Linked DNA regions of Caenorhabditis elegans. The protein of the gene in region 4 interacts with the protein of the main gene of each other region in a pairwise test. Each region holds a gene or a part of one and is shown on either strand. Other genes may lie near its edges.

Region 1 (7,943 bases), about 11 Mb from region 4:
CAGATTGTGCAAAAAATGTTTTGTTTTTACTGAAAACGCAATTTTTTTCTGTTTTTCTAGTATTTTTTGTTCTGAAAATGTCCTGTAACAAGTAAAATTTAAAAAATCTGGATATCTGAACAAAATAAACAAAAAAATTCGAATTTATTATTTGAACCAAGAAAAATCAAGAATTTGTCTGAAAATGCCGGACTTTAAGATTTTCATATCGATTTTTTAGAATTTTCATATTAATTTTTGATTTCAGCACTCCAGTTTACCCCTAAACATCAATTTTCAGCCCAAAACTCTTCAGTGTAGTAAGATTTGGTGTTTTGGGGTACTGTAGTCGATGTTTGCGTATTTTTGGTGCTACAGTAACCCAATTTTCTGAAATTTAAGGCTAAAAGCCGGAGAAAAAGTGTCCCGGGGTAATTTGACATGCTGAATCTGAATTTTGTATAGCCATGTCTGAACTTTTAGATTTTCCACTCCAAATTTACAGAACGGTTTTTTTACAAATTTATTGGAAGAAAAGTTGAGATTTGAAGAATTAAAATTGGCGTCCAATTTTAGAATAAAGTTTGAAAGAAAATAAATATTAATAAGAGTAATAAATAATCGATAGCTCATCACTTCTTTTTTCCTCCACGCTCCTTCACTTGCAGATAAATCGCCGTCCGATCTGCCAAATTGTAGAAGGCCGAGCTCATATTATCCTTCACGAAAAGGCCATCAGACATCAGCTTCTGCTTTCCAACAGGCATTCCGTAACGATCCTGGATTTGTTGTTTGAGTTCGGACATCTGCAAAAATTATGAATTAATTGGGCATCAGGTGGTTCCCAATGGGCCATTCAACAAACAAATATTTTTGCATAAATACCTATCTTTTTGGAACTCTCTTGCCAAGTTGTTCAGTAAACCAGTGTCAGCCGAAACGTTTACCAAACGTATTTGTTCCCTGCCCCTTGACACTATGATGTGATCTCACTTATAGTTTTTTTTCCCCCATCAAAGCTTCTGTAAATAAGTCTTTCATACCCCCACCCTCATTTGGCCACGGACCTTTGTCCAATCGGTCATCTTATATTTGTTCGCCTCTTACCTATTCTTTATGTTTATTATCAACTTACTATTCAAATGGTTTAAAAGCGAATAAATAAATAAATAAATAAATAAAGGTGAAAAAATTCGTTCAGGGGAAAAAAACAATTTTCTTATCTAAAACTCACCGGTGCAGTAACTTGAATTGTAAACTGCACAATTGAGCCATCCATTCCGTGTTCGGGAGCCTGTGGAAGATGAACATTAAGCGAAATTGCTCCGTTGACCTTTTTAAGCCAATCAGCTTCTGGTATCAAATCATCTTCGGTACGAGGACGCTTCGCTGGAGGTCCACCGCCAAAGTCCATTTGTCGGATTGGAGGAAGCTGGAATTATAGAGCTTTATGCATTTTATTGGAGCTTTTCATGAGAATTTCCAGTGAAAATGGGAATTTCTGTGTCCGTTTGAGATGAAATTTACATTTAAAAAAATTTAATTTTGTGGAAATTTCAGTAATTTTAATCTTAACACAGTTTCCAGTTAATTCCGCCGAAAAATCGTCTAATTACGCGGTTAAAGATAACTTTTGGTGGCGTTTTCACTATTTTTCAACAAAAATATAGTTTCAGCTAACCTGGTGTAGCTTTTTCTTATTTTTTTTTAAACAGAAATACACAAAAAACCACTTCTTTATATTTTTCGAAAGAAATACAATATCTCTCTGAAATCAGCAAAAATTCGCGATTTTTAACCAATTTTAACTAATTTTAAAATGGGTCTGCTTGACTACAAACTACAAACTCGATTTAGCAGACCCAAGGGATTTTGAAGAGATTGGGTCTGCTAGACTACAAACTACAACTTTCGATTTAGCAGACCCAAGGGATTTTGAAGAGATTGGGTCTGCTTGACTACAAACTACAAACTCGATTTAGCAGACCCAAGTTGTTGTGAAGCGAATGGGTCTGCTAGACTACGAACTACAACTTTCGATTTAGCAGACCCAAGTGAATTGGAATAAATTGGGTCTGCTTGGCTACAAACTACAAACTCGATTTAGCAGACCCAAATTGAAAATGTTAGTTTTCATGTTTAATTTGGGATTTTTCGATTCGTTTTTGCAATACAAAGAGAATTGGTCCAAAAATTGACAATTTTTGTCGAAATATCCGATTTTTCCAGGATTTTACATGAAAAAACGAATTTTTTTTTGGAGATTTTTCAACTCAAAAATCCCATACCGCTTGATTCGGCATCCCAGGCATTCCCATTGGTGGAACCGGCGGCCATCCGGATGGCATTTGTCCAGGAATATTCGTTATTCCTTGAGTAATTGTCACATTTCCCTGGGTCGATTGATGACGTGGCACCTGCTGAGCTCCAATCTTTTCCTTTGATGGATCGGCAACGAATCCGTGTTGACGGTGGATTTCGTTGATTTGTTGGTCTGAAAAATGAAAAATGATTAATTTTTTTGCATAAAAAACACTGAAAAGCGAAATTTCGGTGAGTTTTATGACGGGAAAATTGTAAATTTTTAGCTCAATTTTCAGCCAAAAATTGGAAAATTAAACATAGCTTTTGCATCTCCGGTGGCAACTGTGCTTTATTGCACAAATTGTTGGTTGGAATTTTTGGGAAAACTTGGACTACGGTATATATTGCCCGTTTCAGCCGAGATACCAGATTTTTTTCAGATGGAAAATATCATAAATCCAAAACTTGGCACGGTTTTTGTTAGAGGAAATTGCTTTTTTTTTGAATTACTGGTTTTTCATGAAAACTCGAATTTTTGAAACATTTGAGTGTTTTAGAGAAATTTCTACATAGAAAACCACACAAATCGTGTAATTTTCCCAAACAAAATCCCGGAAAACTCAAAATTTTCGCCAAAAAATTAGATTTCCCGTACCCAAAGTGACTTTATTCTGTACAGCTCGGGTAATCATATCCCGAGTCTCTTCAGTTCCATCCCAAATCAGTTTGTTCTGCCCTTGTTGCGAATTGTCCTCTTCGCCGAGCTTCTTTCCGATCATAGTCTGCTCTCCGCCGACACCGAAGATATCCGTACGACGTTCAGCGAAATTGCCAAGATTTCTGAAAGAAAAAACTGGGGTTTAGTGATATTGGCACGTGGAAAAATGAAAATTCGTCTGAAAATCTATAATTTTCAGCTTTGAACATCTTTTGTGGGCATTTGTAATCGGAAATTTGTCTGAAAATCTTTAATTTTCACTTTTTACAATTTTTAAGACATTTTTATTCCAATTTTAGATTTAGCACTCTAATTTACTCCTGAAAATCGATTTTAGCTCAAAATTCACCACTGTCGTGAAATTTGGTGCTTAGGTGTGCTGTAGTCAGTGTTTGAGTACTTCTGGTGCTACGATAACCCAAATTTTCTGAAATTGAGCTAGAATCTTTCCAGGTCTAATTTGAAGCACTGATCTCAAATTTCGAGCGAAAAATGCGGAAATGAACAAAATTTCCACGAAAAATCGATTTTTTGTAGATTATTGTGGCGATTTTTAGACTTTTGTTCGTTTTTCAAAGAAATTTCTGAAATGTTAACCTAGAAATATCAGCTCCAAGAGCCAATACGGGCTCCTCCGTGCTTCTTTCTCCAATATGACGATCTCTGTCCTCTTTATACTGTGAATCGACAGTATTGTATCTGACGTGCTCGGCGAGCTTATCCGATGGAATACGCTCTCCGGTGAGCGGTGAAATGATCCAGTTCTCCACAGCTTTTGGCTTTTGGGTCACATTTCTCTTCGGATCGTAATCTCGAACAATCACGTCTTTCTGTTTTGTAGGTGGCAGCGGAGCAGTGAATGCAGGGGCTTCTGGTGCTGAAAATATATAAATATACTCATTTTTAATTTAAAAATTTGAAAAATTAAAAAAAAATACTTTTCGTATTTCGGGTGACACGTGTGCTCTATTCCAATAATTGTTGGTCAGAATACGGTAGTTTTTGCACTTTCAGCCGAGAATATCGATATTCATACCATCAATTTGGATAGAAACTCACATGTCCCAAAAATTCATTAGTTTTCCGAGTTAAAATTTGCCAAAGCTAATAAAAAAAAATTGATTTTTTTGGGTCTGCTAGACTACGAACTACAACTTTCGATTTAGCAGACCCAAGTGAATTGGAAGAAATTGGGTCTGCTTGACTACAAACTACAAACTCGATTTAGCAGACCCAAGTAGTTTCTACAGAGAATGGGTCTGCTAGACTACAAACTACACATTTCGATTTAGCAGACCCAAGTTGTTTTGAAGAGCTTGGGTCTGCAAGACTACAAACTACACATTTCGATTTAGCAGACCCAAGTGATTTGGAAGAGAATGGGTCTGCTAGACTACAAACTACAAGTTTTGATTTAGCAGACCCAAAAAATCTTACTTTTTAACTCAAAATTGCGATTTTTGTTCGTTTTCTACGAAATAAAATGTGAATTCGCCTAAAAATTTTAAATATTCCAGGTTGGAAGCACTTAAATTTGAATTTCAGCGTTTTCATAGTTTGCCATTGTTTTCCATCTATTTTAAAAGTAAAACTGTTGGAAAAAACCGGAAAAAAGTGAATTTTGTCTATTTTCAACGTAAAATGCTCCAAAAAAGCACCTTGAACGGCATCTTCGTCATCGGAATCACTCTCTTCCATATCCATTTCCTGCATTTCAGCCGCCGCCTTTTGCATTTCATTTCTCGCTTCCAAAAGAATACGGGCTCCAACGTCCTTTGGTGTGCATAGTGGTGGAAGCTGAGAAGTATCTCCTGGCTGGAAATCTACAGTCTGAACAACTACAAAGTCATGCCAATCGATTGATGCATAGGCTTGACGCTCTTTCTCGGCTTCTGCCTCCTCGCGATCTTTTAGACCTTTTTGATGTTTTTCCCAGGATACACGATAATTGATATCTTCTATGAGACGTTTTTTGTTGGTAGCATCGTCTTGGAGTTGGGCAACTACGTTGGTAGAGGGCACCAGAACCTGAAAACTGATATTTTAGCAACTTTTAGCTTAAAAATTTCAAATAAAAGTTATAAAGCTCACTTTTCCGCCATCTTTAAACTGAAAATAGTGAAAAAGTTATCAAAATGTTTTTTTTTTGAGTTTTCTACCGAAAAAGCTGGATTTTTTTTGAGTTTTCAACCGAAAAATCTAGATTTTTTTAAAAATTCTTAGAAATACGCAGATTTTCTTGATTTTTACCTTCTGATATTGATCAACGAGCTTTGTGAAGTATGTAAAGTTGCAATGAGCCGGTTTCAAAAAGTCGAATTGATAATTTCTGGCTTCTCGTGTCATCAATTGAGTCAGAAATTGACGGCCATTTCGTGCAACGAACAGAGCAACGAGTCGGATCAAATCTCTGCAATTTATAAGGTTTTCACTTCATTTTAGGTTAAAAATAGCTTTTTCATCTAATTTTAGTTCTAGAAGTTCTAAAAAACTTACAAATCATAGGCGTTAATCGTGGATGGATCCGCTGAGAACTCGTAGGCCGGCGGTGGAGCTGAAGGCACAAATTCAGCCTTTTTCACGTGCTCTTTCACTGCTTGCGGTACTTTCGGAGCCTCAACTCGGCCTTCTGAGAAATCGTAGACCATCTTTTTGTAGTAGGCATGGTATGGGTCTGTGATGGAGAGAAAGTTGAATTTCGGGTTTTTCGCCTCCTTTTCGCGGATTTTATTCTCAAAGTCCACTCCATTTTTTGCAGCGAAACGGGCGGTTTTGTCGACGATTGCTGAAAATTGAAAATGTATTGCTTATTTTTGGAAAATATCGATTTGCCCTAGTTTTTGCGGAATTCCGCGTGAAATCTTTCCAAAACCATGCAGAACTGTTTTATTTTTGGTTTAAACTATAAAACTTACTGCGAATATCCGGCGGCGGGTAGATTAATCCAATAATCGCACGCCCTGACAACGAGGGCTCGTTGTTCATCGAGTCCTCCTCGCGGTTTGAGACAACTGCAGTCATTTTCTGCAAATTTATAAGATAAATAATTTGAAAATTCGTAAATTTCGCAAAAAATTCAGGAAAATTAATAATTTAATTAAAAATAGAGAAATAAAGCAATAAACTGAAAAATAAACGTTTTCGAATATTAAGTGGAGGTTACTAGGCCACTACAGAACTCGACCATGACCAAATTCAAATTTTCCCGGTAGGTTTTTATCTATTCTTTATTGTTTTCGACATAGTTTTTACTGCTGTTACGTTAAAAATGTTTTATATTGTGTAAAAACATAACAATCTGTAAAAAATTTACAGTTTTCTCTATACAAATGAATGCTAAAAAGTGATGGCCTAACTTTTTCCACTGTATTTCTTTCTTCGCTCCACTGAGAAAAATAATTTATTTAGCGCAATTTCTTAACGAATTTCTTCGATTTCCAGTTCAATTTCAACGATTTCCCTTGTTATAACTTTCAAAATAATTAAAACTCAAACGGTTTCAGGTAACAAAATGACTGAAAGTCCACAAATCTCGGTCAGCTTCGTGTCAGAGGACGAAAACGAGCTCGGAGGATCGGGAATCCTTGTTCCAGTGGACATCTCCACGAATGAGCTGCAAATTTTGTGTAATCAGCTTCTCGGGAGCAGGTTTTGTTTGAATAATGAATTTTCTGTATCTCATCCTGAGTTTTCAGTGACGATCCTGTGCCGATTTCCTTCTTCACCACAGAAGGCGCTGAAATTGTCGATTCCATTCGAAAATCGTTAGAGGAAATTGATTTTGAGACTGTAAGCCCTTGAAAGAAGATAGAAAACTTTTTAAAAAATTTAAAATTTCAGACATTAAAGCTTGTTTATCAGCCACAAGCAGTGTTCCGTGTGAGACCAGTTACCAGATGCTCCGCTAGCATTCCAGGTAATTTTTTGATCGTTTTGACGCATTTAAATATATTTTTCAGGTCACGGAGAGCCAGTAATCTCTGCTCAGTTCAGCCCTGACGGACGTGGTCTAGCGTCGGGCTCCGGCGATCAAACAATGCGAATCTGGGATATTGAGCTCGAGTTGCCTCTCCACACGTGTAAATCCCATAAAAGTTGGGTTCTCTGCATCGCCTGGTCACCGGATGCTACGAAAATCGCTTCGGCTTGCAAAAACGGAGAAATTTGCATTTGGAACGCGAAAACCGGAGAGCAAATCGGAAAAACGCTCAAAAGGCACAAGCAATGGATCACGAGGTGCAGGAAAATCGCATTTATCACTGAAATGTCTTGAAAATTTGGGTTTTCTACAAAAAATCGCCGTAAAATTGTATTTATCACTACAATGTTCTCTTAAAATTTCCATTAAAACCCCACTGAAACGATGTATTTTTACTGAAACCCTTTTGAAAATCACTATTATTTGGGTTTGCTAAATCGAAATTTCTAGTTTGTAGTCTAGCAGACCCAATCACTTCAAAATCACTTGGGTCTGCTAAATCGAAAGTTGTAGTTTGTAGTCTAGCAGACCCAAACTTCTTCAAAACCACTTGGGTCTGCTAAATCGAAATTTGTAATTTGTAGTCTAGCAGACCCATTTCGAATTCCAATAATTTGGGTATTTTAAATCGAATTTTTAATATTTTCTATGAGTTTACTTATCATCCATAGTGGAAAAATGTGATTTTTAACAGAAAGCTTCAGAAAACCCGAGTTTTTCTCTCAAATATTAGCCAAAAATTAATTTTTCAACATAAAAACTAAACATTTCCATTTCAAATCGAATTTTTATAATAAAATTTTTGCAGTTTGGCATGGCAACCGATGCACAAAGACCCGACGTGCAGGCTTCTGGCTTCTTGTGGAAAAGACGGAAATATTTTCATTTGGGATACCGTACAGGGTACTGTAGTTCGCTGTTTGAGTGGACACACTGCTTCGGTCACCTGTCTGCGTTGGGGAG
Region 2 (4,209 bases), on a different chromosome or scaffold from region 4:
TTTGTCCGGTAAAAAGGTGGACGCGGAGAAATTGGTCAATTTGCCGAATCTTGATAAGTACAATGTGAAAGAGAAGAGATTGAATATTTTCCTGCATTCTATTAGGAATCAGTGAGTTTATCTAGCAATTTTAAATATTAATTTTGAAATTACAGCTGGATGGATTTGGAAGCACGTTTACATTTAACTCCAACTCGTCGTGATATTCTCAGTCGAGTAGCTTCGACATTCCAACTCGATTCGGAAAATATCACTGGCTGGACAAAGAGAGAAATTAATTCTATCGTTATTGCTCTTTTCATTGTGTAAGTTCTAAAAAATGCATAATTAAAAAATTTCAAAATGTTGAAATTTAGGATTTGCCTCGTCGATGTTGAGCTTGGAGACGACTACTTCAAGAAGGACAACGCTTCTCCAGAACTTACTGCGATTTCCAATGAACTATGCGGGCTTGATTCTTTCCAAATTACCGGTTTGCACGCTGCGATTAAATCCCAATGTTGAATGATATTTTGAATAAAGTTTATCTTATCAGAACCAAGTTTAATTAACAAGAGACAATAATTAGAAAAGCGAATACAAGAAATTGTCAGAAACCGGGGACTTTATTGATCGTCATCCGAGTTCTCCTCGTCGGAGCTCTCGCGCTCGCTTTCGAAAGTTCCTTCTGGAAGCGAATAAAGGCGGATAACCGGAGATTGTGGATCCTTCATCAACAAGTACTTTCCTGGTTTTTGCTTCATACAACTGGAAAAAATTGATTACCAGTCTGGATGTGCTCGTTCTTACCTGTCAATGACGCATCTAAGAATTCCCCAGCAGTTATCCATGTTCAAGGCGATGTTGCTAGCAAACTCCGTTGGCTTTACGTATTGGGTGAGTAGAATAGAATGATTTTGTGTGCTGCGTGCATTGTTACGAGACACATATCCGAGCTTCATTGTGTCGGAACCGGCAAGAAGTGCTTGCAGAGTCCACTTTGCAACCTTAGCTGAGTTGTTCTTGATTTCGGTGGCCATTACGGCTCCCTTTTGAACATCAAGCTTTGTTCTCCAGTCGACACCTCCAGATTGTGTGCTATCCCATTCGTTGAATGCCTTGATTGTAAGAGTCTGAGTCTCATTTCCGAGTCCGTGAATAACTCCATCCAATTCTGTACGGCAAACCAACTCAACTGGTTTTCCATCAACTCCGTTTCCAAGATTCCACTTACGGTATCTAAAAATTGTTTAATTAAAGATCAAAATTTTAAACGAAAATCCTACTTGTAAGCAGTTCCTGACTCTCCAGTCTCCTCGTCTTCGAATGGAGCACGAGCATTCTTGAAGGTGAATCCTGCGTCGTTTCTCTTGACGACTTGACGACGGAAGTTTTGGTTAATGTAGAATGCCTCGGTCGCAAGATCCTTGGCATTGTTGATACCATTTCCGTCGAATGATGGTGGTTCGGCACTAGTCTCGGAAACAGTAAGGGTCTCAACTGGATTCAAAATATCTCTAGTGTTTCTCTTATCGAAGAAAAGTTTGTCTCCGACTCTGTAGGCAACAATGTCCCACGAGTAGACCGAACGAGGAGCAGTCATCAAAGTAGCAAGAATTATGTCTGTTCCGAAAACATTTCCAGCACCACCTTGAGCAAGTTCTTGAATTACAGGATCTTCCGTTGTGGTGACATTGTAGAACACGCCAGCGCATCTTTGAAGCGGAATAGAATTTTTCACAGAAACGCGATCAATAGTCTTGTCATAGTATTGAAGACTTCCATACTGGTGATCCCCAATGTCGTCTCCTCCTGGGATGTTAGGAAGAGCAAGTTTGGAAAACGCACTAAGATTCATTTCTTCAAGAACAACCCATTCCGGTCTAACTTGAACAGATGGAAGACGTTCCTTCGGCCGATCACCTCCGAATCGACCACCTTGTCCGCGTTGTCCTTGACGAGCATTTCCTCCACGACGTTGCCACATCTTGAAGGCACGTTGTTGCTCCTTGGCGATACTTCTCTTCATTCTCAAATTCGTTGACTGGTTCACCATCTCACGCTTCTCATTTTCTTTCTGCATCATCTTACGAAGATGCATTTGGCGGACACGGAAGTTGCGCTGTGGATTGCGAGCCATTGGTTTAGAAGTGTCAACAAGTTGGAAGTTATGCTCATCCATTCCATGAATGTAATCGAACTGACTTCCAGCGTTGGCGGCGGATCCATAGACACGCTCATTGTATCTAAATTTCAAGTTTTAACGATACCACTCATTTGTTGTATAAAAACCTCTCATTTCCTCTTCTATAGAATCTATCAACACCAATCCAGTCGGCAACACGTCCGATGCGATCAGCCTTGTTGAATTGTTGGAATGGAACAGGCTCATCAGCAGAGGAACTCGACGCCAATGGACCCCATCCGACTGTATTATCAGCCAATGACAACAGTTCAAACTTTGGTAGAGCCATACCTGAAATAAATATAAAATAGTGTTGAAATGCAATTTTAGGCCAAACGATAGCAACGACAAAAGAAATGGAAATGGAACAATAACATTCGAGAGCATTTAAAATATAGTTACAAGACTTTCATGAATTTATATAATTCACAAAACAGAAAAATTAATCAGAAAATCGTATAAAAATGTGAAAAATCCGACAAGAACGCGTGTAAAAATAAAAATGTTTAATCGAGAAATGCGCAAGGTACACGAAACGCGCCAACATTCGCCACTTGACGCCACCTCAATTTTTGGTTTTTATTTGTTTTCTCCAAATTTCCTCGCATAATCAGAATATAATTCCAGAAACGGGTCCACCTTGATGAATACAGTGCCACAAAGTATTCGAGTCATTCAGCTCTATCGACAGATTTTAAAATTGGGCAAGAATTGGAAAGCAAAAGAAGAAACAAATACTGTAGTTGAGAGACAACAAATTATCACTGAAGCTCGTCAGGCTTTCCGAGAGCACCAGCAGGTATTCTCGTTCTCAATATTGATGTGGAAACTAATTATATGGGATTTTTCAGGAAAAAGACCCAATAGTGATTGGCAAACTAATCTATCAAGCGGAGCAGCGAATCGTTCAAGCAGAACACTACGGAATTCCACATGCAAGACCCGAATACCTTCCTCCTGATACCGCTTATTCAGTCAGAACGAAAACGCAAAATTTTCACAAAATGTCAAGAAAACGGAGAACTGAGCGGGATGGTCCACTCAGAAAAGGAGACAACTGAACTCCAGTTCAAAAGATTTTATTGTAGCGCTTCAAAAATTCCGGATCAGCTAATGAAGGATATTGTAGAACAATGCATAAAAGATTCGGAATATGCTGAGAATCTTTGCAACAATGTCTTCAATAATGAAATTGTCACATCGCATGAAATTCGTTACAAATTTCAAATAAATGTTCTTAAAAACTTGATTTCTGAACTTCAAGCCAATAATGTTGTTGTTCCTGATTCAATGTTCGACAGGCTTGGTTCTCTAATGGGAATGAAAGAAGGAGAATATGTGGAAAGAGTAAGTTTTTAAACAATTCGTCAGCTCAAATGGAAATAATTTCATATTTTCAGGTTTACCTAACCGATGGAGGCGACAAAGTTCTAGCGAAATTCTCGGAAGCTGTAAATCAACTATCAATGGGTACAACTGGCTTATCAGTTTGGCAAGCTTCTTGTGATCTCGCCAATCTTTTTCGCTTGATTCCCTCCGAGTACAATCGAATATTAGAACTCGGGTCAGGATGTGGTGTTAGTGGAATTGCAATTGCAAAAATGAATGATTGTTGTGTGACGCTCACTGATTATGATGATAATGTGCTGAATCTTTTAGAAGAGAATATTGCGAAAAACGATCTGAAGAGTGATACTGAAGGTATTTTTTGAGAAATAAAATCGACTCCTTCCGTATTTCAAATTTAAAAATATTTAGAATCTAAATTGTAGATTCGTCAGCCAACAACAATCAAGCAACAGTTCGCTCACTCAATTGGTGTGATTTTGATTTCTCTGAATGGAAGGAACCCACGGATTTGATTATCGCGGCCGGTAGGTTTTGCTAATACTTTTATTTGTTAAATTCTTTGTTTTTCTATATGATATTCGTGTGAAACGAAACCCTTCAAATAACAGCTTCAGGCACTCATTATCCAAGTCTTCTCATTTCTCTGTGTCTCTCTTCTCTTTCACGTCTCCTTTTTCAGATGTTGTCTACGACAC
Region 3 (5,664 bases), on a different chromosome or scaffold from region 4:
TGTGAAATTTCTATCAAAAACTGCTGCAGAATCAGCATATTGCAGACAAATTACAGCTAGAATTGCAGCACCAAGGTTTTTCATAATATGATGTTTTTCGAAATAAATATTCCAATATAGCATCTCATTTCAATTGGTCATTTTATACCGTGTGTGGTCTGTAGTCTCTTGTTTGTCAACACTATTTCTTGTAGAGGTGTTGCTTTACGAACTGTTTAGACAGCTTTCAGTGCAGTGGTCAGTTAAAATAATTAAATGAAAAACAGCAGGATGTTATTATACAAATGAAAAAATCTATTTATACATGTTTACGAATTCAAAAATGCAATTCAAACGTAAATATTAACCAACATGTGTGTTTTTAGATAAAAATTTGAAATTTTGGCAATTCAGATCTATTCACAATTTCAATCCGAGATTTTATGTACTTTAATGAGTTTTTTTGTAAATTTTTCGTATTTTCCGTTTTCGGCAGTCCGCAAAATTGTTGGTTTAATGTCAATATCTGAAATCTTGATTATTCAATCAAAAAAACACTTTTAGAAATTCGAAGTATTTATATATGAATTCAATTTTTAAAAACCACAAATCGGTATATTGCAAATCACAATGGAAAATAATCGGAAATTTGGCGAATTAAAAAAATAACTTGAGGTGTAGAAGATGAACATTTTCTAGATGATGATGAAAGATTTTGACCCGTTGGCAACAATAAATTCATGGTGTGATTAGAATTAATATGAGTTGGAAATAAAATATCACTGATTTGTAAAACGGTAAGGCACAGTTGATGGATATCGACAAAATGTAGAGAAAGAGTTATTACCAGATATGGGAATGAAATTATACTTATGGATACGCTATGACGATAATGGAAACTGTTTCCATAACCTATTCAGTCTTGATTCCAAACAAAAGTTGTTTGGCAAACGTCGAAAATTGGATTTGATCAAAGAAATCAGCAACAAGAACTGCTTCTTTCATTTCAACAGCCATTGTGGCGAGGACAGTACCGAGAAGAAGAAGACGTCCGAATCTGGAAATATTTGAATTTTAGTTTATGAAGCAATAGAACTTGAGAAAAAACAAACCTATCCCCAGCATCTTCTGCTCCTTTTTTCTTGACCATATACCGATAAAGAGCATTTGTAATTGCACTTCTTCCATCACTCAACGTCTTTTTTGCATTCGAATCAACATCATCAGCGTCTGGATTCAAAAAGAAAATTGCTTTGAATGCAGCAAATTCAGTCATGTCAATTTCCATTGATCTCATTGGTTTCAACAATTGATCAAGCATTTGATACTTCTTTTTGTTGAATCCAAGAGGACGAGTTGGTTCAGGTGTTCTGTCAAAATAGGCACCGTCTGGGAAGACAATCGTGTCAAGACCATGATCTGGAGAATTGAATACATGAACCAATGATGGATATGTGATGGCTGAATGTCGAAGAAGAGCAAGCTGAAAGAATAAATTAGGCTTACATTAGTGAAAATTAACAAAAAAAATAGATTGGCAATTTAAATCTAAAATCAATATTCTATAGCTCGAGCTGCAGAAAATCAGCTGCCCGATCATTAGGCAAAAAAGTGCATTGTGTAAAAGTGTAAAAATTTTCGCATATTCCAAGACCTGATGCCGGAATTTTTAGTCAAAATTTAAACATCACACGAACAGGTTGCAATAATTTAAAATTTCTTAATGCCCACATTTTCCAGATTTTCCAGACTTTAAATCTAGGATTCCACTAGAAACCTTCTTCTCATAAGTTTTGAAACTTTTTATGACGCTTTAAAGTCCTCACAACTACGCGTACCTTATCCGTGAATGGAAGTGATTGGAAAACTGGCAACGTCTTTGCCCATTCGATCATCACAAACCAGTCTCGTTCGTGCCAATAATGATAATCTGATTGATTTGCAAACCTGAGGGATGTTACTCGGTGTCGCGGTGACTGAAATTATTTCATTTTTAAGTGACTTCCAGCTAATTCACTAACCAAAATAGCGTGTTCAGCCATAAAAACTTCATCTGTAAGTAAACAATCTGATACAACTGCTTCTATTAGGGTTCTTGATGGCATATATTCTGCAAGTCTGAGTGCACAACACTTTTGTTCCGTTGATGATAATAACGTTAGGAAATTGTCTTCACTGCGATCATTTTCAGATACCTGCAAATTAAATTTATATATTAGCTTTATGTATAGACATGTGTAATTGAATTTTTTGTTTAGAATATCAGGTGAAATTATATTCTCTAGTTTCCTTGGAATTTGCATACTCTAGAGGATCAAGCACCAAAATTACTTTTCATGATTTGTGTTTAGCGTAGAAAATATAGTTGTTGAAAAGTAGTTGAAAAGTTAAATTTAATTTTTTAGTATTTTAATATATCAAAAAGGTGGGTAGTTCTGTTGGTTACTCCACCTTCGAAATAAAATCTTTTGGATTGTTTTATCGTGATTTTATTTATTTTTATTTTATTTTAATAGTAATTGAGACAAATTCCTAGAGACACTGCTTGAAAAAATAATGTTATTCGTTTTTAGACAAAATTAAAGTGTTACATGTTTTTACTATAATAAAAATTATACATAAAACTGAAACCCATAAATACTTAATGGCTCAATCGTTTCTATTTTTGAAAAATTTACCATAGCAGGTGAGCACTCATCACTGGCTTCAACTTTTTTAATTGGTGGATATCTTCGTGTTCTTTTTGTATATCCAATTGGATCTCTGTTCTGTTGAATTGCATTTCGATCCATTCCAACTTGTAAACATTTCTCAAATCGACAATGCCTACACGCACATCTGATACCTGAATTAGAGAGTTAAATCTACGATTTAGAATCATCAAACCAACTTTTATCAACTGGACATTTTCCTTGAAATTGGCAGCTAAACGTTTGGTTTTTCATGATTGTTCGACGGAAGAAGGTTTTGCTGAAAAATTATAAAGTTTAATCCGATTTTTTTTGTATTTTCCATTTTTCTTTAGTTAATTTCCATATTCCTAGCACCAGGTACATGTCCCTCTCGGACACTAAAAATGAAACTCTCCTACTTTCCTGCCTACAATAAAACCAATGCTTAAGGACTTGCCTACGATGGAAGCCAAAAATATATAAATTTGAACCTTTTAAGGTTCTACGTTTCCAATTCATTGATTCACCATATCCGTGCAAAATGCAAACACTTTTTTTATTCATAGGTTTTTCCCGAGATCCCCCAAAAACAAAAAAAAAGTTTATGCCTTGTGCCATAATTCGTTTTAATAAACTACGTTTCTTTCTGCGAAACATTAGAGTCTGATTATGACTTTGCAATCTCAACTTACAAATTCAGTTAAGCTTCTTGATTTTTGATAGAAATTGGATTTTAGTTTTCTTGGAAAAAAATCGTTGATTAAACGGAATGAGAATTCGCGGAAAACAAATAGCTAATTTTGCAGAAGTTGAATTCATTTAATTTCATGAGTTTTTGGTTTAAAGTTTAGAATCTCTTTAATTATTTTTTATTTAAGGGTTTAGAACAACAACAAAAAAACGAAAAACAAACCATCCATTACATGAGGGAACTCCATAATGATAACCAGTTGATATATCGGAACAAACCAAGCATACCTCTTCAGGTTGAGACGAGTTATTTGATGACGGACCTCCACCCGTCATTTGGCTGAAATTAAGACAAGATTTCTAGAAAAATAAGAAAGAAGTACATGCAAAGTACGAGGAAACTGGAAATGGAATGGATTGAGATGCAATGGATTAAAAATGAATAACGATTCCGTAGAAAGATAGTTTCTACAAAATCTCACTTTTCTCTGAGCTTCCTTCCTTGTTATTCAAGAAATATTAAAATAATAACGAGTGTTCAAAAATCCATGATTTCTCAAAGAATTCGCAAAGTTTTATAAGAGAATATCAAAGAGTAGGAAGATTAGAAAATAATAATCCGTCGCTGAAAAACACCACACTAAATCTAACTCCGAAGTATTACATTCAAAGTACAACATGTTATTCAAAATATTATGATTTAGGGAATTTTTAAAATTCTAATTTTTCATCAAACAAATTGACAAAGTTCAACATAGTTTCCAAAACAGTTCGAAATTTTATATTTTCAGCCAAAATTTCTTTAAGGTACTTTTTAAAAATTAATTCAAAAAATTTTAAGTGAACTTTTTTAATGCGATTTCAAGCTAAACCCAGTAGGCTTTGAATAGATTATGTTGCAATTTCGTGACAAATTTTATAAGTTTCTCATAAATAAGACAACGAGAAAAATGGACAAAAAATTGCTAAGTAGTTGTAAAGTTTTTCTCGTGCCAGGACTCAAAACAGTGATTCTCGTATAAAATATATTATAAAGTTTCATAAATGTTGCATTTTAAAATTCAATTTTAAGTAAACATTGAAAAAAAAAGTAATAATTCTAACCGCTAATTCTTCTATGGATTGTTCAATATAGCGCATTGCTAAAAAATTTCCAATAAAAAAAAACAAAATTTTGTAATTTTATAGCGACAAATACTGTCTGCCAACCAACTCTATCTTCAGTCTCTCCACACCTTTCACCACAAAAAAAACGATAACAAATCTCGTGATGACGTCGTTTTTATGTTTCGTTTCTCTGCGTATCTGAACTTTTTCTAAGTTTCAGATTACGAACGAGACAAATTATTTGCCTTAATTGAGATATCTCATAAGATTTAAGATTAGAAAGAATAAAATTTATTAATTAAATTGAAAGTGCTGAAGAAAGTATCACATTCTAGATCAAAAACATATTGTTATTTGGAAAAGGATACAATCAGATTCAAATTGTTGGAAAGTAGCAAGACATAGTATCTGAACGCATTGCACATATTCCCATGACTATTCTATTTTTGTCTCTGAACTTTGAATATGATCATTGAAACAGAATGTGAAATGAAATATTACATGAAATGGGTAGACATAAAGGACAAATAGAAAAGGTGAAAGAGACCGAAAAGTGGAAGGGTAACCACGGGGACAGCACAGAGACAGAGGGAAGAGAGTTGGTCTCGAGTGATGAGAGAGTTAGAAGGGCAAGAGACGACAGAGAAAAGATTGAGTTGATGAGAGAGAGAGACAGACATAGATATATTATTACAGATTTTAAATTGAGACGCAGAGATAGTTGGCATAGGGAAGAGACAAGATAGTGGAAAAAAGGTAGCAATTAATTATTAGATATTTCAACAACAGAAAGCTCACTAGCGGCGGGGATAGACATAATATTAGAAAACAGAAATATTCACACACACACACACACACACATACACACACACACATACACACACAAATGATCAAAAAAGATGTAAATGTAAAGGTGGTGTAGTCGAATTTTTATTTCTTTATTAGACTCAAAATTGTCTGAAAACGCCGAATTTCATGATGAAACTTCTTGAAAACTTTTCAAAAAAAAAGTTATGCCCTCTTGAAATTTTTTTTTTAAATTCAAGTTTTTATCAATTTGTTCTGTAAATCTATCAAATAGATGCTTGAACAGATGGTAGGTTCTCTAATCTGGAAATTTAATTTTTATAAATCATTGATCAAGCCCTGATATTATATTCAGTTGTTTTCTATAGAATAAAATATGTTTGATCTTTTCGTGCTCGCTGCAAAATAT
Region 4 (5,992 bases):
TTAAAATTTGGTCAAAGCCGTGTTTTTCAATGGGGGTTTTTTTAAAGTAAGAAAATGATATAAAAATCATGAATTGAAATTTTTAGAACTTCTCAATTTTCGATGAGTCTAGAACATTTTCAAATTAGGCCATTACTTTTTGAAAATTAATTTTGAATAGTTTTTTTAATATTTCGTTTTTAAATATTCCAAAAAATTTCAAAGTAAGAAAAATCTTAAATGTTGTATTTTTTAATATTTCTGGACCCGGTGGGACCTCAAAAAAAAAGAAGTTTATTTTAAAAAATCTTCTAGACTCAAATTTTTGGAGCAAAATTTTGATCCCATATACACTCCGCAGCTGGAAAACAAGACACAACTATTGTAGAATGAGTTTCATCATTTTGCAACTCGATTGACATATCTAAAGGACGTGGTACTCAAGGACCTGTCAATTGACATTCTCATCACCTATTCTATGTTTATATACTCATCATTTAGATGGCTTTCCCAAAACATATCAAAAAATTGGAAATAATGTACATTAATATTCATTTATGTCTTCAGGGAGATCACAAAGTAATTGCAAAAAATAATTTTTAAAAAATGGTAGAAAAATAATCTTCAAGCGTCCTTTCTCTTTGGTTTTTTTGGATTCTTGCTCCGGCTTTTGCTCTTACACATTGGGCATATTGGAGCATTTCGGTGAATTTGTTGGTAGCAGGATTGGCAAGTCTGAAACGAGAATTTTTGTTGGGGAAAATGTTGGGGAAAACTATACAGGGTCTGGAGCAATACTACAATAAAGTTGGTTGTACCAAGGGTGAGGGGCAATCTTCGTTCGGCAATTTTTTTTAGACAAATTCGGCAAATCGGCAAATTGCCGGTTTGCCGATTTTCCGGATATTTCTCATGCCGTCAATTCGCCGGTTTGCCGATTTGCCGGAAATTTCAATTCCGGCAATTCGCCGATTTGCCGGAAAAATCATTTCTCATGTACTACCGTTTTGTCATATGTTTAAAACGTCTCCAGTTGAAATAATTTTGTCTATATATTTGCACAGCAACTTTCTATAGAATACCTCTTTTTCTACAGTACACGTAGGAACACCCTAATATTTTTATTTTATTTCACATTAACCATAGTTTTTATACATAGTGTATCTCAACTTCTATAATAACCATTTTTCCAAAATAACTAATATTTTTACAATAATACCAGTTTTTACAATTTCCTAACTACGCAACCTACAGTAACCCAATCTACTACAAAAAGTTCTTAACTACCTTCATTGGCGGTGACTGGTGATCGGTGACTTTAAGTTGATGATGCTGCATGGCTGCAGCCATATGCGGTGGTGGCCTGAACTGTGGGGTCGGTGAATTTGTCGAAAAACTGCCAAGCTGTTCAAGTAGCATTGGTTGGAACAAATTTCGGAAGTTGAAGTTTGGAAATGGAGATGGAAGACCGCCGGATAGAACCGGAGTGACTGGAGCTGCTGGGGGTTCACTGAAATATAATAACATGATTCTTTTAATCTGGTGCCTGTAATACTTTAGAAAAGTTCATATTTGAAGTTTTCACTTTACTGTAGAAGAAATTCTGACTCTAGCTCCTCAAGAAAAAAAACCTACATTTTCAAATGAGTCTGTGGTAGATCATCTTGGCTCAAAGCAATATCACATCCAGTTTCCTTAAGCTTCTCATTTGTGGACTCAATTAATTTCAGCAGTGCTTCGTATCTTTTAACAATTTTGCTCTCTCGATCTTTTTTCTCCGTCTCTGCCGCAGCAATTTCCCGTTCCAAATCGCTTTTGTCCTGAAAAAGTTGTGTGTTGCACTGTTCTTTGCAGATTTGTTGTAGAGGCGGCAAAATTTATCTATCAATGCTTAAAAAAATATATTCCTATGAGCTTGTAGATTTTTAGATTTCTAGAAAAAAGTTGACAGCTTGTCAAAGTTTGCAAGCTCTCAAAAATTATTTTTAAAAAACTATTTCTTACCTGGTTTATCAACTGAATAATCTCCGAATGCTCTTCCTTCTCTTTATTCAACTCGTCAATAGTCTTGGCAGTTTCCTTGATAAACTTTTCAGTATTCTCCAGCTCGCTGAGCTCCTCGAGCAACTCATTTCGTTTTGCAAAGTAGTCATCGACTTTTGTTCTGGAAATCATGCTTTGCTTTACTGTGGAAGCTTAAATTTTTTGAATATATTAATTAGAAATTAACTGTAGAAAAAACCAGATTAAATTTTTTGTCAGTGTAAAATTTTTCGGAAAAACCGAGGACAACAAGTGCTGGCTTCAATGTTTGAATCAGGGGTGGGCGGCAATTTCCGTTCGGAAATTTTTTTTGTCGACAAATTCAGCAAATCGGCAAAAAGCCAGGTTTGCCGATTTGCCGGTTATTAGTTTGCCGGAAATGTTCAGAGGATTTTTTTATAAGACGGAAACACTGCCTTTTTGAAAATTTCTTCCCGTTTTCTTTAGATATTTTCATAGAATTTTTACTTTTCAAAATAGATGTAGGAACATTCATAGGATACGTACAATTTTGCCGATTAAAATTAAAATTCTGAAATTTCAAAAAATGTTGTGCAAAACCACAATTTGCCGAAATTACAATTGGCGAACCTTTTCTAATCTATTTAAATATCGATTTCCAAAAATGTCACGATAAAATATCGCATTTAAAAAGTTTTCCCAAACCATTTCTGCTACATTCCCATCCCAAGCCCCCTTCACTCAACTCTACACGGTGAATTGAAGCGGCACAAAATTCGAAATTGAGGCGAGAAGATGGTCATAAAGTCACGCTTGGATAGCAAAAGGACATGATGGAAAGAGAGATGGCTTTTAATCAGGCACACCACAACCACACAAACATGACAAACACCGGATGTGAATTGTATGTATGTATGTGTGTGTGTGGGTATCTTCATGTAAGCAAATATTGTATACTAGAAGGTGTTTGGGGAGTACTGTAGAAGCGTGAATGTTTTAGATACCCCCTTATCATGCTCAAAGTTTTTATTTTTTAAATTAAGAATTTGAAATTTAATTGAAAGAGTCAGCCAACCAATTAGCGACGCGCAAGGGGTGTAGTCAAAGTTGCTGATTGGTGGGAGCCCGAAGACCCCACTCCCACAATAAAGCTCATCCCCATAATATAAAACTACTACAAGTAACCTTAAAAAGCCTACCGACACTTGTGTACACCTGGCGGCTCTTTTCTCAAGTGCTACTACCAAATCATCTCAATTTCCTATATTTTTATGCTAATTCCCTAATTCCTTCTTCTATGTGTGTGGGGGATTACGGTATGATGTTACGCAAAAGGTCGCAACAAATCCAATTAGCCTCTGTGTTTTTTTTCCTGTAAGGACATTTCCGTGTGGAGGAAGGCGCGAAATCACTTTGAAGTGACCGACTAGTACATACTTAAAAAGTTATGCAAGAAGGGGAGTGACCTTTGGCGCGGGGAACTTCAAAAAATTGCCGCGCTTACGGGTTACATGATTTTTAGTGAAGCCTAGCCTAAAAGTTGGCTGGAACTTGATGTGCGAGATATCGCACTCTTTGCCCTTCCGCCAGGACAGATATTGTTTATTGTCTGATTGATATCGCAATATTGAGCTTTGTTATTATTTAGAATCCTCCCACGACATTCTTTTGTTATCTTATTGTTTCTCCGCCTACATTTATTGTATTTAAGCCGCTTCCTCTGAGGGATCGGTATGCATCTTATAATAGAGGGCTTCACCCCAGCCACCCTCCAATCCGAACATGGTGCAAACTTTGACCAATTTCTCTTAAAGCAAGGTTATCAAGAACCTCAAGCAAATAGCAAAAAGTGTTGTCAAAGTTTTAGTACATATATTAAAGGTACATGTGGGTTTTGCAACGAAAAAAAAAAACTACTTTCAAAGTTGATATAATAGTTTTTGATTCAGATTTTAAAAATCCTGGAAACCCCTTTTTAATTCAAATATAATTTACCGTATGTCACTGTCGTTCTTTAATACATAACTTTTATCTTGGCTGTTTTTGGTGGTATCAACAATTGTTCAACAGATAAAATATAGCGAAAAACTTTAAAACAAATTTATCAGTAGGAACTAACTTGATTAAATAGAAGATTATCGAAATATGCACTGTCCAAGTTGAAAAATGATGGCGCAAAACTAATAGAGAAAACACGACGCTGCTGGGCATTTTTACCGTTTTTTTTTAAATCTAGTAGTATTAAATTTTAGTTTGCAGCATTTAAAGACTTGAACTCACTTTGCATTTGCAACTTTATGCAGCTCGCTCATCGACAAGATTGATTCGGCGCCCAAAATCGGCGAAACTGTCGTGGCGGTCATCGATGCGCGTCGAATCTATAAACGGAGATCGTAAAAGTTTTGGAGAAGAAGCACAACGATTGTCAAAAATGGAAGAAAAAAGACAGCAAAAGGAAAGTGTAAAAATTGAAGAGGAAGAACGTATGGGAAACGGAGAAGAGCCGGACGGCAACCAATAAGAATGTGGGCGGGGTCGGATATACATGAGGAGGAAGGATGTAGAGGCTCCTAAATCCATGTAGGAAATGTCAATGGGATTTAAGAATTAACAAGGATTTAGCAAATAACCCCAAAATCATTGTAGAATAGTTCTGTAATCTTATCCACTTTCTTAACTATAACATTAACGTTTATAAATTAATAGTGCCAACAAACAAATAGAAAAGATGCGCTGTCATTTATAGATCTAACCTTTTAACCGGTTACAGAGACCTTTTATCTTGATTTTGACAGGTAGCAGTGAGTTATTATTTTTATTGCACTAATTGAATACACAAATAATAAAGGTGCTAGTTGATTAAATCAATACTCAACATAAATCCTTACTTAGGGACGTAATAATGTTGTTCCTGATATCGCCATGATATCGCCTCTGTCTACCATAGAAGCCCAAGTGACAGATATCATATCGTCATTGTAAAACTGTTGTGAGCCCAATACATTGCTCAATAATCATAAATCCATCTAGTAGATGCCACGTGGCAGATCCTCTATATTTTGGTACTTTTTAGTTTATAAGCAACAGAGCTCAAGGAAGCGGAAAAGCACATGCTAAAAATGGAAAAAATGGCATAGGCTAAAAAAAACTTAGCATCTACAAAACTTAAAATGTATGAAAATATTCATGAGCTAGAACCAAAACCTATTTAGCTAGCTCAAAGTTAAGCCCAGAACATCTAAAAAGGAAACCTACAGAGTTCCAAAACCTTGTTGCTTCTCCCACGTGGCTTTAAGCTTTAAGTTTCAATATCTTATCAACAAGCACTCTCGAAGGATTATGTTACAGTAGGACACATTCGAATCCAAAACTTTCTCCATCTCGTGTTCCTTATCTAAAAGCAGTGTCCTCAAGGTTGTAACCCTTGAAAAGCGAACATGAATGTGATGAAATGTAAATGTGAATGAATTGTGTAAACTCCACCCTCCTTCCGCGAGATATGCAATTAGAGTAAGGCGTCTGCCCTCAAAGTGCTCGTAAATCAATCTAGGCCCATTCCTTCGGACCACTATCAAAACACATCTTATTTCCTCTTCTTACAAGAAGAAGAAATAATCGATCAAATGTTGCGGAGAAGACACTTTTTGTGGGGTGGCGGTATGTGCGTCAAAAGACCCCATCGATCACGTTCAGGTGTCTTAGAGGTGTCATGCGAACACCTGCGTGCTAATTGTGATCGGGATTTGAGGAAGTGCAAGAGGGGAAGTACTTGTTGGTAGAACTGTCAGGATTTGTCAGTTCCTGATGACAGGGAGCTTTTTTTGAAGTGGAGGAAATCTGGGGGAGCTAGATCAGGGGTGCGCAGCAGTTTGGCATGTTCTCTCAATGTTTTCATCAAAATTTTGTGGAAAATATAATATTTGCTCAGTCTGAAAATTATCTTCAAATGACTTGGAACAACATAGATCTAGGGCATTTCTATATAGAAATGCTCGAAAATTGTCTGAAA

Evidence for each region.
Region 1: the proteins of vab-23 (region 4) and prp-21 interact in a two-hybrid assay, tested with the Caenorhabditis elegans proteins (one large-scale study listed by BioGRID).
Region 2: the proteins of vab-23 (region 4) and eif-3.D interact in a two-hybrid assay, tested with the Caenorhabditis elegans proteins (one large-scale study listed by BioGRID).
Region 3: the proteins of vab-23 (region 4) and nhr-10 interact in a two-hybrid assay, tested with the Caenorhabditis elegans proteins (one large-scale study listed by BioGRID).

What each region holds. Positions count from the first base shown.
Region 1 is NC_003280.10:482,948-490,890, reverse strand, and holds prp-21 (uncharacterized protein), read right to left. Parts: upstream 6,026-7,943; 5' UTR 6,023-6,025; coding exon 5,917-6,022; intron 5,787-5,916; coding exon 5,498-5,786; intron 5,412-5,497; coding exon 5,252-5,411; intron 5,030-5,251; coding exon 4,660-5,029; intron 3,879-4,659; coding exon 3,599-3,878; intron 3,124-3,598; coding exon 2,939-3,123; intron 2,474-2,938; coding exon 2,268-2,473; intron 2,010-2,267; exon of another isoform or gene 1,927-2,009; intron 1,412-1,926; coding exon 1,214-1,411; intron 786-1,213; coding exon 612-785; 3' UTR 488-611; downstream 1-487. Other genes in the region: gldi-1 (NLE domain-containing protein), read left to right, coding at 6,513-6,649, 6,697-6,790, 6,842-6,917, 6,961-7,237, 7,789-7,943.
Region 2 is NC_003281.10:8,969,124-8,973,332, forward strand, and holds eif-3.D (Eukaryotic translation initiation factor 3 subunit D), read right to left. Parts: upstream 2,456-4,209; 5' UTR 2,454-2,455; coding exon 2,272-2,453; intron 2,226-2,271; coding exon 1,266-2,225; intron 1,219-1,265; coding exon 790-1,218; intron 748-789; coding exon 606-747; 3' UTR 512-605; downstream 1-511. Other genes in the region: Putative RNA polymerase II subunit B1 CTD phosphatase rpap-2, read left to right, coding at 1-111, 156-305, 357-504; R08D7.4 (Complex1_LYR_dom domain-containing protein), read left to right, coding at 3,098-3,511, 3,565-3,865, 3,937-4,038, 4,194-4,209.
Region 3 is NC_003281.10:7,111,758-7,117,421, forward strand, and holds nhr-10 (Nuclear hormone receptor family member nhr-10), read right to left. Parts: upstream 3,682-5,664; 5' UTR 3,678-3,681; coding exon 3,565-3,677; intron 2,950-3,564; coding exon 2,870-2,949; intron 2,825-2,869; coding exon 2,658-2,824; intron 2,175-2,657; coding exon 2,001-2,174; intron 1,956-2,000; coding exon 1,818-1,955; intron 1,463-1,817; coding exon 1,092-1,462; intron 1,037-1,091; coding exon 892-1,036; 3' UTR 538-891; downstream 1-537. Other genes in the region: B0280.7 (uncharacterized protein), read right to left, coding at 1-84. UniProt on the Caenorhabditis elegans protein: Probable transcription factor that acts in a feed-forward loop with nhr-68 to activate genes involved in the vitamin B12-independent breakdown of the short-chain fatty acid propionate.
Region 4 is NC_003280.10:11,896,850-11,902,841, forward strand, and holds vab-23 (C4H2-type domain-containing protein), read right to left. Parts: upstream 4,362-5,992; 5' UTR 4,347-4,361; coding exon 4,264-4,346; intron 2,155-4,263; coding exon of another isoform or gene 2,144-2,154; coding exon 1,984-2,143; intron 1,800-1,983; coding exon 1,615-1,799; intron 1,490-1,614; coding exon 1,267-1,489; coding exon of another isoform or gene 1,246-1,266; exon of another isoform or gene 715-1,245; coding exon 604-714; 3' UTR 516-603; downstream 1-515.